2 linked regions of the Callithrix jacchus genome follow. The protein of the gene in region 2 purifies or fractionates together with the protein of the main gene of each other region. This does not show direct contact. Links are inferred from orthologs where the notes say so. Each region holds a gene or a part of one and is shown on either strand. Other genes may lie near its edges.

Region 1 (4,992 bases), on a different chromosome or scaffold from region 2:
AATTCTTAAACAACTAATTCCATTTTCTAAAAATCTACCTAAGGAATAGGACCAAAAATTAAGTAAATTACTAATTCACAAAAATATTCATCATGGTATTAAAAAATGCATAAAATTGAGAGATTTGCACAAGTGATATATGATGATATAATTCCACAAAAATAATTTCAATTATTTTTAATTATGGGAGGGTAAGGCAGGAATATCATTTGAGCCCAGAAGTTCAAGGCTGCAGTGAGCTCTGATCATACCACTGCACTCCAGCCTGGGCAACAGGGTGAAACTATGTCTCTGAACAATACATAAATGAATGAATAACAAAACATGAAAATAACTATTAATTATATGGGGAAATGCTCATGATATGACACAGTTTAAAGGCAGAGAACAATGCTATACAAGCAAAATTATCTCAACTTTTATTAATTATATTACTGAAAATAAGTATTCATTTTCCTACAATATATGCCAAATAAGAGGCACTATTTTATATATACACTTTTTATATACATAAATCTAATTAACCACATCAGCTAAATCACATTCCCAGTTTACAGATGGGAAAACTGAAGCTCAGAAATGTTAAATAAGTTGGCAACATACACAAAGTCAAAAGAAGAGCTGAGATTCCAACATGGCTCTAAAGCCTTTAAGACCGTGAAGGCTGGCCAAGCACAATGGCTCACACCTACAATCCTAGCACTTTGGGAAGCCAAGGCAGGTGGATCACCTGACGTCAGGAGTTCTAGACCAGCCTGGCCGACCGGGTTAAAAAAAAAAAAACCCATCTCTACTAAAAATACAAAATTAGCTAGGGTGGTGGCACACGCCTGTGATCTCAGCTACTCAGGAGGCTGACGCATGAGAATTGCTTAAACTCAGGAGGCGAGGTTCCAGTGAGCCGAGATCATGCCACTGCACTTTAGCCTGGGCAACATAGCGAGATTCCATCTCAAATAAAAAATAAATAAATAAAGAAGTAAAGAAAAGACCTCAAAGCCTTTGATACAGTGTATCACTTTCTAGCACTCATACATAAAAGATAATAATTAGGAAGAAATCTACAAACTGTTTAAAAATGTTTCTCTTAAGAGTTTGCTTTATACTTTATTTTCCATATTTCTAGAATGTACATGTATTCACTGTCATATTAGGAAAAAAATTAAGCTTTTCACAGTTTTCATTCACTCTGTCTCTCACTCTGCTATATTTGAGAAGTGGCATCTTTTCTCTAGCACAGCATCCAGCTCCTAGGACGTCAGTGCCACATTTCACTCCTTTCTGACCTTCAATCCAGTTGTCCACTCATTTCCCACATGGTACAGCATATCTACCCTCTTCCCTTCTGTGTGTGTGTTAAGCAAACCTACCCTCTTTGCATTGTATTTCATTTAAGAAACGCTTATTAAGTTAACATGTGCTACACACTGTGCTGGGAACTGAGGAATAACAAAGTATCAGGTACATTCTCGGCCTCAAGGAGTTGAAAGTCCAGGCTTGATGACAAGCTCCTATGACAAGACCCCATGACTCAACCAATGTCTTTCAACTTCTAACATCTGAAGGTAATAGGAAGCCCCTGTAAACAGTCATGGCTGTGCTTCGTGAGTAAAAACAACCTGTTGACGAAACAAGAGAAGAGCTACTCTAGTAACCTTGGCAGAGCTCTGTCCAGGGCCTAGCAATATAAACTGGAAAACCACTAGAGTGCTTCAACATGTGGAAAATGTGCCAACTGTCAAACACCTAACCGCATCATGAGGCTGACGTAGTGGGTCACCAGTAATTTAAATACACATGAAGGCATAAACACTTCAGGCTCTGGAAGAAAAATGCAAGTGACACTGAATATGACTGAAGAAGCAAATGCATTTGCCCGCATAAACATCACGTTCCCCATTTTAATACAAATGTGGCCGCATCACAACAGAGAAAAGCCATGGAGAGCAAAGGCTCCAACCTCTAGGGCTTCGTTGACAGCGTCCATCTTCTCAGGCAGGACCTCTGTGTTCTTCATCCGCTCTTCCAAAGTGTTTAACCAGGTGGTTTCAAGATCCAGATAGTGAAGCAGCTCAATCCAACAAGACCAGACCTCCTAAAGCGTGAAAAGTTTAAATCAGATGAAAAGCCATTTCACACATGATATCTCTAGTGCTACGCATTCTCTTTAATCACCAATAATGTCATTTGGATGTAGGAATTCAGAAACTGTTGGAGTTGAAACTTCAAATAAAAAAATAAAATAAAATAATCCAAAAAATCATGTCAGACCAATTGGGGAGAGGTGGGGAGCAAAGAGGAGTGGGCAAGAGGCTGCCTCACCCTTCACCTTAAGATAAATTCCACGATCTCATTTAAATGTCAAAAATACAACTATATAATTAGTAGCCTCATCCTTTACCTTAAAATAAATTCCATGATCTCATTTAAATGTCAAAAATACAACTATATAATTAGTAGGAAAAACAGGAGAGAAACATTATTTAGTTTGTTTTTTTGGAGGCCAGGTGCAGTGGCTCTACAACTGTAGTCCCAGCATTTTGGGAGGCTGAAGCGGGCAGATCACCTGAGGTCAGGAGTTTGAGACCAGTCTGGTCAACATGGTGAAATCCCATCTCTACTAAAAATACAAAAATTAGCCAGGGTGGTGGCAGGCGGCTGTAATCCCAGCTACTTAGGAGGCTGAGGAAGGAGAATCAGTTGAACCCAGGAGATGAAGGTTGCAGTGAGTCTAGACCACGCCACTGCCCTCCAGCCTGGGCAACAAGAGTGAAACTCCATTGAAAAACAAAAAATTTTGTTTTTTGAACAGAAGGAAAAAATTGCTCCAGATAGTAAAATTTTTAAAAAAATAATTTCATAGAAAATTGAAATCCCCTGGGCCCCACCCAGTTCCCACTCAGAGCTAACTGATGTAAAAGTTTGCAGGGTAGCCTTCCCAATATTTTTCTAAATTCATGAAGACCTGTCTATATAAGAAGAGAGCCACATTTTATCAAAACTGGAGTTACACTATTCTTGCTATGTTGGTTTTGATCACTCATTCCCCTCTAAGGTTTCCAGAGCAGGTACCCGGGGGTTGTGTAGGGAATAGATACATTTATAAATTCATAATCCCTTATTACAAGAGGAAGTTATTTGAGTGGCAAGTTTAGGAGAAAGAACTTCACTGGATGCCTCCGGGGCTCGTTCGCTTTTGGATGTACTGAATGAGTGAAGGCTTCTGCTGGTCCACACTCCATATGAAGTATGCTTACCAGATCAGGAAGCAGTACGTTTTTCTACAAAGGGCTAGATAGTAAATATTTTAGGTTTTGGGGGATACACTTGGTTCCCATCACAGATTCTTCTTGGAGGTGGGGTGTGTGTTGTACAACCCTTGAGAAATATATAAACCATTCTTAATTAACCAGGTATCCAAAAACAAACTACAACTTAGATTTAAACCCCTCAGCCAGTCCAGGTGCAGTGGCTCATGCCTATAATCCCAGCACTTTGGTAAGCCAAGGCAGAAAGATGGCTTGAGCCCAAGAGTTCAAGACCAGCCTGGGCAACATAGTGAGACCCCTATCTCGACACAAAAAAATAAATAAAAATAATTATCTGGTGTGGCATTGCAAGCCTGTAGTCATAGCTAACTCAGGAAGCAGGGGCAGGAGAGTCACTTGAGCCCAGGAGTCTGAGGTTTCAGTGAGCTGTGATCACACCACTGCACCCCAGCACAGGTGACAGAGCAAAACCCTGTCTTAAAACAAAACAAAATGAAAAAAAAATCCCTCAGCCATAATTTGCCAATCCCTGAGTTAAAATAAAAGAAAAAATAATTTCTAGTCCCCCATTTCTACAAGAAAAAGAAAATCTGCTCAGATGCAAGCATGACCTCTTTTCTTATGGGAAAGAGAAGACGACTTAAAGAAGACCACTCCCAAGAAGCAGGCTGACCCAGAATCAAGTATCTTTCTTACTAACTAGCCTCAATGATACATACTTATCTTAGCACAAAATTAGTTTAGAACAAGCACTGAATGAATTCGTTCATAAATGAATGAATGATCAGTATTTAGGTTAAATATTACAGTTGCCATTTTTTACCATTACAGGATTTACCACAATACAATAATTTGTTTTATGTAGAATTGAATGTAAATTAAATTGTAAATTGAAAGGCCTCTTAAATCTTCCAACAAGCAATAACAAAAGTCATACTACTATAAAAACAAACAAGCAAAAACTTGATCTTAGTTTTTAAAAATTTCACAGAATCATCTACATTTTACATATAATGGCCAGGGAGGGGGAAAAAGGTATTTCATCTAAGGCCCAGTAAAATAGTAGCATATATAAGTTCTATTTTTCCTTCAGATGACTCCTGTACTTTAGACAGCACTCAAAAGAAAATAATTCCTCCCTGTATACTCAACCAGGCAAAACGAAAGAGATGTTTGCAATGTGCTCTGCAATTTTTGGACTGGAACCGGCCCCACAGATCATCTGTTACATGAAAACCTTGATTGCACATGCAAAAAAAAGTCAAGTCTGAAGATACAAAATGACTTGCCCAAGACCCTTTTGATAATTAGGGACAGATTTTGTTCTCCTGTTTTCAACCCCTCTTTCATTTTTATCAACCTATTCCCCCAGATCTATTTTTCCTTTATGATCCAGAATTTGAAATAAAAAAGTTTTCTCCAAGATTTGAAAATGGCCAGAACATTACGGAGTTTGGATCTCAGAAATACATCACAGAAAGAAAAAAAGTAACATACCTCTAGAGTGTGACACTTTCCTCGAATTCTATTACAAAGAAGTTGGTAATTCTCCAGCACGACATTCAGCTCAGACGTCAACTCCTGGCCACCAGAGGGCACCTTGGCAGCTAATAACTTGATGTTGTCCTTGAGAATCTTCACTCTCACCTCTTTCTGCAACACATCCTCTTTTGCCCTCTGTTCCAAGAAAGGATGGATGAACTTGAACAATGTCTCCTTTCTC
Region 2 (5,560 bases):
ACCTGCTGCCTCCAGAGGGGCTGAAAGTCCCCTCACCTGGAACAGGTCCCCAGGCATCCTCAGACCTTCACTGGTCTCACACTCCCCACCCAAACCCAGCAAGGAGGTGCAGAAGCAGTGAGTGCGGTGAGGGGTGGGGTGGTCCAGCTCCACTGTGCCTGTGAGTCCTCCCATCCTGTGGCACACGCACCTCGGAAGGGAGGCAGGGATGGCGTCCCTATGAGCCAGTCCGCAGGGAAGAAGTAGCTCACTCTGGGAGGGTTGGGAAGGCATCACCAGACCCTCTTAGACCTCCTCCCGCCTGGAACATTTCAGAGCCTGTCAACCTCTCCCCCAGGCGGGCCCCCTCTTTCTCCGAAGTCGTGGGTTTGTTTGGAGAAACCCCTCCACCCACACCCCTCTTCCTGGAAATAGCTGTGGTTGGAAGGGAGGCTGGGCCTCATCCCTCCTCTGGCTGCCGCGGAGGAGGGGTGAGGCCCGGGAAGGAGCGAGGGAGGGCGGTGGCTCTGGGGGTGCGCCCACAGGGGTCTGGAGGATGGCGGCCGCAGAACGGGGCTGGCGAGTCGAATTAGCCTCCTCTGTGCCCGCTTACGGCCTCAGTGTCCCACATGTGAAGTAGGAAAGGAAAATGCTCGCCCGCACCCAGCCAGGCCGGGGCCCGAGCGCCGCTGCCAGCTACTGCCGGGTCCCGGGCCTGTGTGTGTGGCTCGGCGTGCGGCCCCGTGCGCCCGGGGCGCTGGCAGGCGTGGCGGCACGACCGAGTAGGTCCGAGGCGGCGCCCCGCCCCCTGATCACTGCCCCGACCTCCCGCCGCTCCCAGCTTGCCGCGGCCTGCCAGAGCCCCCAGCCCCAGCCCTGAATCGCGCCCCGCGCCCCCTCGACCTCCGGCGCCCCCTGGCGCCCGCCCCTCGCACTGCCAGCGCGGCCGTGACGCAGAGGCCGCCGTCCGCCCAGCGCGGCGCGGCCACTCACCTGCGGGGGGCGCCCGGCGGGGCGGGGGCGCGGCGGGGCGGGGCAGCAGCAGGGGGAGCCCCCGGGCCAGCCCATCCCGTCCGGGCCCGCGCGGAGCAGATGCGAAGGAGGCAGCGGCGGGAGCCGGCGGCCGCGCTCGGCTGCGCTCCCTACCGCCCCCACCGCGCCCCGCGCCCGCCGCCGCCGCCCGCTCCTCCTCCTCCTCCTCCTCCTCCTCCTCCTCCCCCCTCCCGGCTCCAATCCCCACGTTCCGCCGGCTCCCCGCCCCTCGGCTTCCTTTTCTCCCCACCTTCTCCCGCGAACCCTCACTCACAAAGAGCCGAGGGGAGAGAGGGTGCACAGACTGCCAGCGGGGCAGCGCCGGGGACACACTGGAGACAGGAGGAGGCTAAGAGAGGGGGAGAGAATTGGAGAGAAACGGCCGCGGAGGACACGGGGACGGGAAAGTCTCAGAGACGGGGAGAGCCTGACCCGGCGGGACACAGGCAAAAAGAAACACGCGAGCCAGACAGACGCACAAGAAACGGTGTGCATAGGTCCAGAAGGGACTAGGAAACAGGGGACAGGGGACTGCCAGCCTCTCACCCTCCCCACAGGAGTGTGTCTGGGCTTGGGCCTGACCTGAGAGGACCACCCGCGGCCTGGCCTGGTGGTGCTAGCGTCCCCTACCCAGGCGGGCACGTGAATCAGGTGAAGCCACCTGGTGTTACTTTTGGCTTAAGTCGCTGGACACCCTTCCCTCTTCCCAAAGGATTCACAGCTGAGGACCTCTCCATCAGGCTCAAGCCCCCATCTCCACCTGCAAGCAGCTTCAGCCATCCCATCCACTGCCCTGCTTTATTCATTCATTGAGACAAGAGTCTCTCTCTGTCTCCCAGGCCGGAGTGCAGTGACGTGCGATCTCCGCTCACTGCCTCCAAGGCTCAAGCGATCCTCCCACCTCAGTCTCCCTAGTAGTTGGGACTACAAACGGGCGCCATCATGCACAACTAGTTTTTGTAGAGCCGGGGTTTCGCCATGCCCAGGCTGGTCTCCAACTCTTGAACTCAAGCAATTACCCCGCCTTGGCCTCCCAAAGTGCTGGGATTACAGACGTGAGCCACCGTGCCCAGCCCTTGCCCTGTTTTGAAAGAGCTGGACCATCATTTTTACTCCATAGACCTCTGAGAAGGTCTTCCTTACATTTAACTTGAATCCAGTCTTTCCAAGTGGATATGGAAGTTCTTTCTGTGGTCTAACCTCATTCCCTGCTTTTGCAGTGCCTGGTACTTGATAGGAACTTCATGTAATGGAGTGAATGGGCTCTAGGGCAGGTTTGAGTGGTGCCACCCTGGAAGGGAAGGTAGGGACAGAGTAGGGGACATCTTCCTAGAAGCTCTGAACCTATTGCCATTCCTGCATTCTCCTACATCCTTTAGCAGTGAGCACTTCCTGAAACTTTCTCCCTCCTTCACCCTCCCCGCTGGATTTTCCATGATGAAAAGGGGCGGGGGAAAGGATGTTGGGATTCTGAGAACCTAGTGCCCAGGGCTCAATGCCCAGTGCCTGCTCAAAGCAGCCAGTACCACTGGCTCTAAGACCTCCTTTCCCTCCTTGTCTCATCTCAACTGGGTCCTTTCTGTGCTCATCTTGTCTTTGGCAAAGGCTGGGAAGTCTGGTTCTCATTTCCGGGGGGTGGGGCACCTGACAGGGAAGAAGAGTCTGTGAAACAGTGCATGATGACAGTATGTGTCCCCCGATATCCAGAGATTGGCATTTGGGCGGGTGGATATGGTTGGGACTGGGGAGCGTTGATCTTACTGATCTTGGTTGAGTTGGTGTCCAGTAGGCAGTTTCAGAGGTTAGGGCAGTGGGAGTCACTGGGGACTGGGGACAGGAGAGGTGGGGGTGGGGGAATACCGAGGAGAGTGGCAGGGATTGGAGGCTCCCGGAGAAAGGGCAGGGCTGGAGGTTGTCCTATGTATTTTGGCAAGATATGTAATTGAGATACGTAAGATAATGAAATGTGTTCATGTCTTTGGAGCTGTCAACCAGCTCTTTTAACATCTTGCTCTTCCCAGCATTCCTTAGGCTCTTTGGCTGGGTGGGCCCTGGGATGGGTGCCGTGGGGTACCTTTACCTAAGCTCTAAAGTTACCAGTAGAGAGACTGGGACTCAGAGGAATTTGATGGGACCCCAGAGAGGTGAGGGGTAAGGGCTAGAACCTCACACTCATGCTGGTTTTGCTGCCTTCCTGGGAGGAACTTTTGAGGTTCCAAGGAACTGGAAAAGGGTCACAAGATGGGTGGCTGAACTCCCAGCTCAGGCTGGATTCCTACTCCCAGCATGGGGATACAGGGGAAGGGGACTGCAGGAAGGAGGCTGATGAGAAAGGCTGAGAATGAGAAGTTATGCAGGAGGTAGCTCTGTGGGCGTGAAACAAAAATGAGTGGTTCGCAGAACCAGCCACGCATCCTGATTTCCAGCTCACAGCAGCAGGAGCTTCAGGGAGGAAGAAGAAGGGATGGAGGAAGCCAGGTTGGTGTTAATAAAGGTCAAACAATTTCAGGAACACCCCTGACCTCCCTCCACACAGGTTTTCTTACCTTGACTATGCAGAGGGTGGTCCATCTTGGCATTGAAGGTGGAACCCCCTCTTCCACGGTCTGGGGTGACCCCATGCCTGCAACCAAGTGTGCTCAGATCCTTGGGGTGCAGGGGATTATATAGGGCGTGGATTTAAAGGTGTGGGGCTGTCCTGGCTGGAGACCACTGGGTCAGGAGAACTCTAGTAGAGGGTTTGGGTGCTGGGAACCAGGAAGAGCAGGGGAAGGGGCAGAGCCAACTCCAGAGGCGGATCTCCTGGCTGAGGACAGAGGCTTTATTGTCCAAGCTGGAGGTTGCTGCAGCTGGGCGGGGAGCAGCAGAGCTCCGTCTCTTCCAAATTTCTTTTGGGGGAGGGTAAGGGAAGGCAAGCCGCCCCCCCTTCGCTTGTGGCCCTTGGGGCTACCATGGTTGCTGAGAAACGAGGCTTATTTGACAAATAATGCTTCCCAGGAGCAGATGTGTAGCTCTCTCACTTCCTGAGAAACCAGATGCTGTGAGCTTGCTTAGCACTTGAGGTGACGCCCTCAGCACAAACTGGGACCCTCAGTGCCTTGGGATCCAGCGTATAGTGCTTGATTCTGTTTAGAAGAAACTAGGCTAATGTGGACTCAGATACAAACGGGACCTAACCAGCCTAAAGTTGGGCCTTGTGAAGTAGGATACTGCATCTGCACTTTCCTACTTGTCCAGTAGTTCAGGATTTACAAGATTGGCAATGAGTCCTGAGTCCATTTCTGCAGCTGCGCTTCTGGGTGGATCCATACTTTTTTTTTTTTCTTTTTTGACAGAGTCCTACTCTGTTGCCCAGGCTGGAGTGCAGTGGTGCGATAACAGCTCACTGCAGCCTTGACCTTCTAGGTTCAAGCGATCCTTCCTCCCAAGAGGCTGGGACTATAACACCGTGCCTGGCTAATTTTTCTATTTTTTGTAGAGACAGGGTTTCACCGTATTGCCTTGACTGGTCTCAAACGACCCTCCTGCCTCATCCTCCCGAAGTGCCGGGATTACAGACATGAGCAACCATGCACACGGGACACACATTTTTTTTTTGAGATGGAGTCTCGCTCTGTCACCTAGGCCGGAGTGCAGTGATCTCGGCTCACTGCAACCTCTGCCTCCAGGGTTCAAGCGATTCTTCAGCCTCAGCCTCCCAAGTAACTGGGTCTCTAGGTGCGCACCACCACACCTGGCTAATTTTTCTATGTTGTACACACTGAGTTTCACCATATTGGCCAGGCTGGTCTTGAACTCCTGACCTCATAATCTGCCTGCTTCAGCCTCCTAAAGTGCTGGGATTACAGGTGTGAGCCACTGTGCCTGGCCATACTCATCTTTTTAAATGAGGATGTGGTCATATTAGAGGCCAGGTTTTCTCTGATTTTAAAGTACCTTTTGGGACACAGGGCCTTCCTCTACCCTTTCTGTACACAACCATCATAAATCTCTTTCAACAAGTCTTTCCTATTTTTATGTTCCTTCTTTCCCATCATTTACCTAGACCTCAGTACTGCACAGCTAAGAAACGAAGACTTGGAGAATGTGAGTGAAACTGATTCCTGTGGAGATGCAGTGAACAAGCATTACCTTGTAGGTTCCCCAGGCACCCTGGGCAACAGGGGCATCTAAAGCCACATTGAAAAGCCTTTACATTATCACAGCTCACTGAGTCTCATATCCCTCAACTTTGCCAATTTTGGAGAACAGAGATAAATTCACTGGCCAGAAAATAGAAAAGCAGCTGCTCCAATTGGCTGGGAAATGCCATTTGTGTTAACTCCTTCCTCCTCTTGGCTCTTAAATCCCCAAATTGTTGACTGAGGTTTCCCAGCCTCCTTTCTAAGTTCCACCTCCTTGTGACCTTAGTAGGGATTCTCTCACTGTCCTAACCCCTTTCCTGCCTTGCAACAATGACCAGTCTGTCCCTAGCTGTTTGGAAAATTCCCACTGAATCTAAAGTATGACTAAGAGAAAGTGGCCTCTGTTCTGGTAACCTAGACCAGCC

Evidence for each region.
Region 1: the proteins of TNS2 (region 2) and UTRN purify together in Homo sapiens (affinity purification with mass spectrometry; 4 studies listed by BioGRID and IntAct, with this or other methods). This does not show direct contact. The link is inferred for Callithrix jacchus from reciprocal best matches to the Homo sapiens genes TNS2 and UTRN.

Annotation. Positions count from the first base shown.
Region 1 is NC_133505.1:151,249,358-151,254,349, reverse strand, and holds part of UTRN (utrophin), read right to left. Parts: intron 4,947-4,992; coding exon 4,767-4,946; intron 2,096-4,766; coding exon 1,961-2,095; intron 1-1,960.
Region 2 is NC_133510.1:66,517,830-66,523,389, forward strand, and holds the start of TNS2 (tensin-2), read right to left. Parts: upstream 3,807-5,560; 5' UTR 3,633-3,806; coding exon 3,558-3,632; intron 1,145-3,557; exon of another isoform or gene 1,048-1,144; coding exon of another isoform or gene 973-1,047; intron 1-972. UniProt on the Homo sapiens protein: Tyrosine-protein phosphatase which regulates cell motility, proliferation and muscle-response to insulin. Phosphatase activity is mediated by binding to phosphatidylinositol-3,4,5-triphosphate (PtdIns(3,4,5)P3) via the SH2 domain.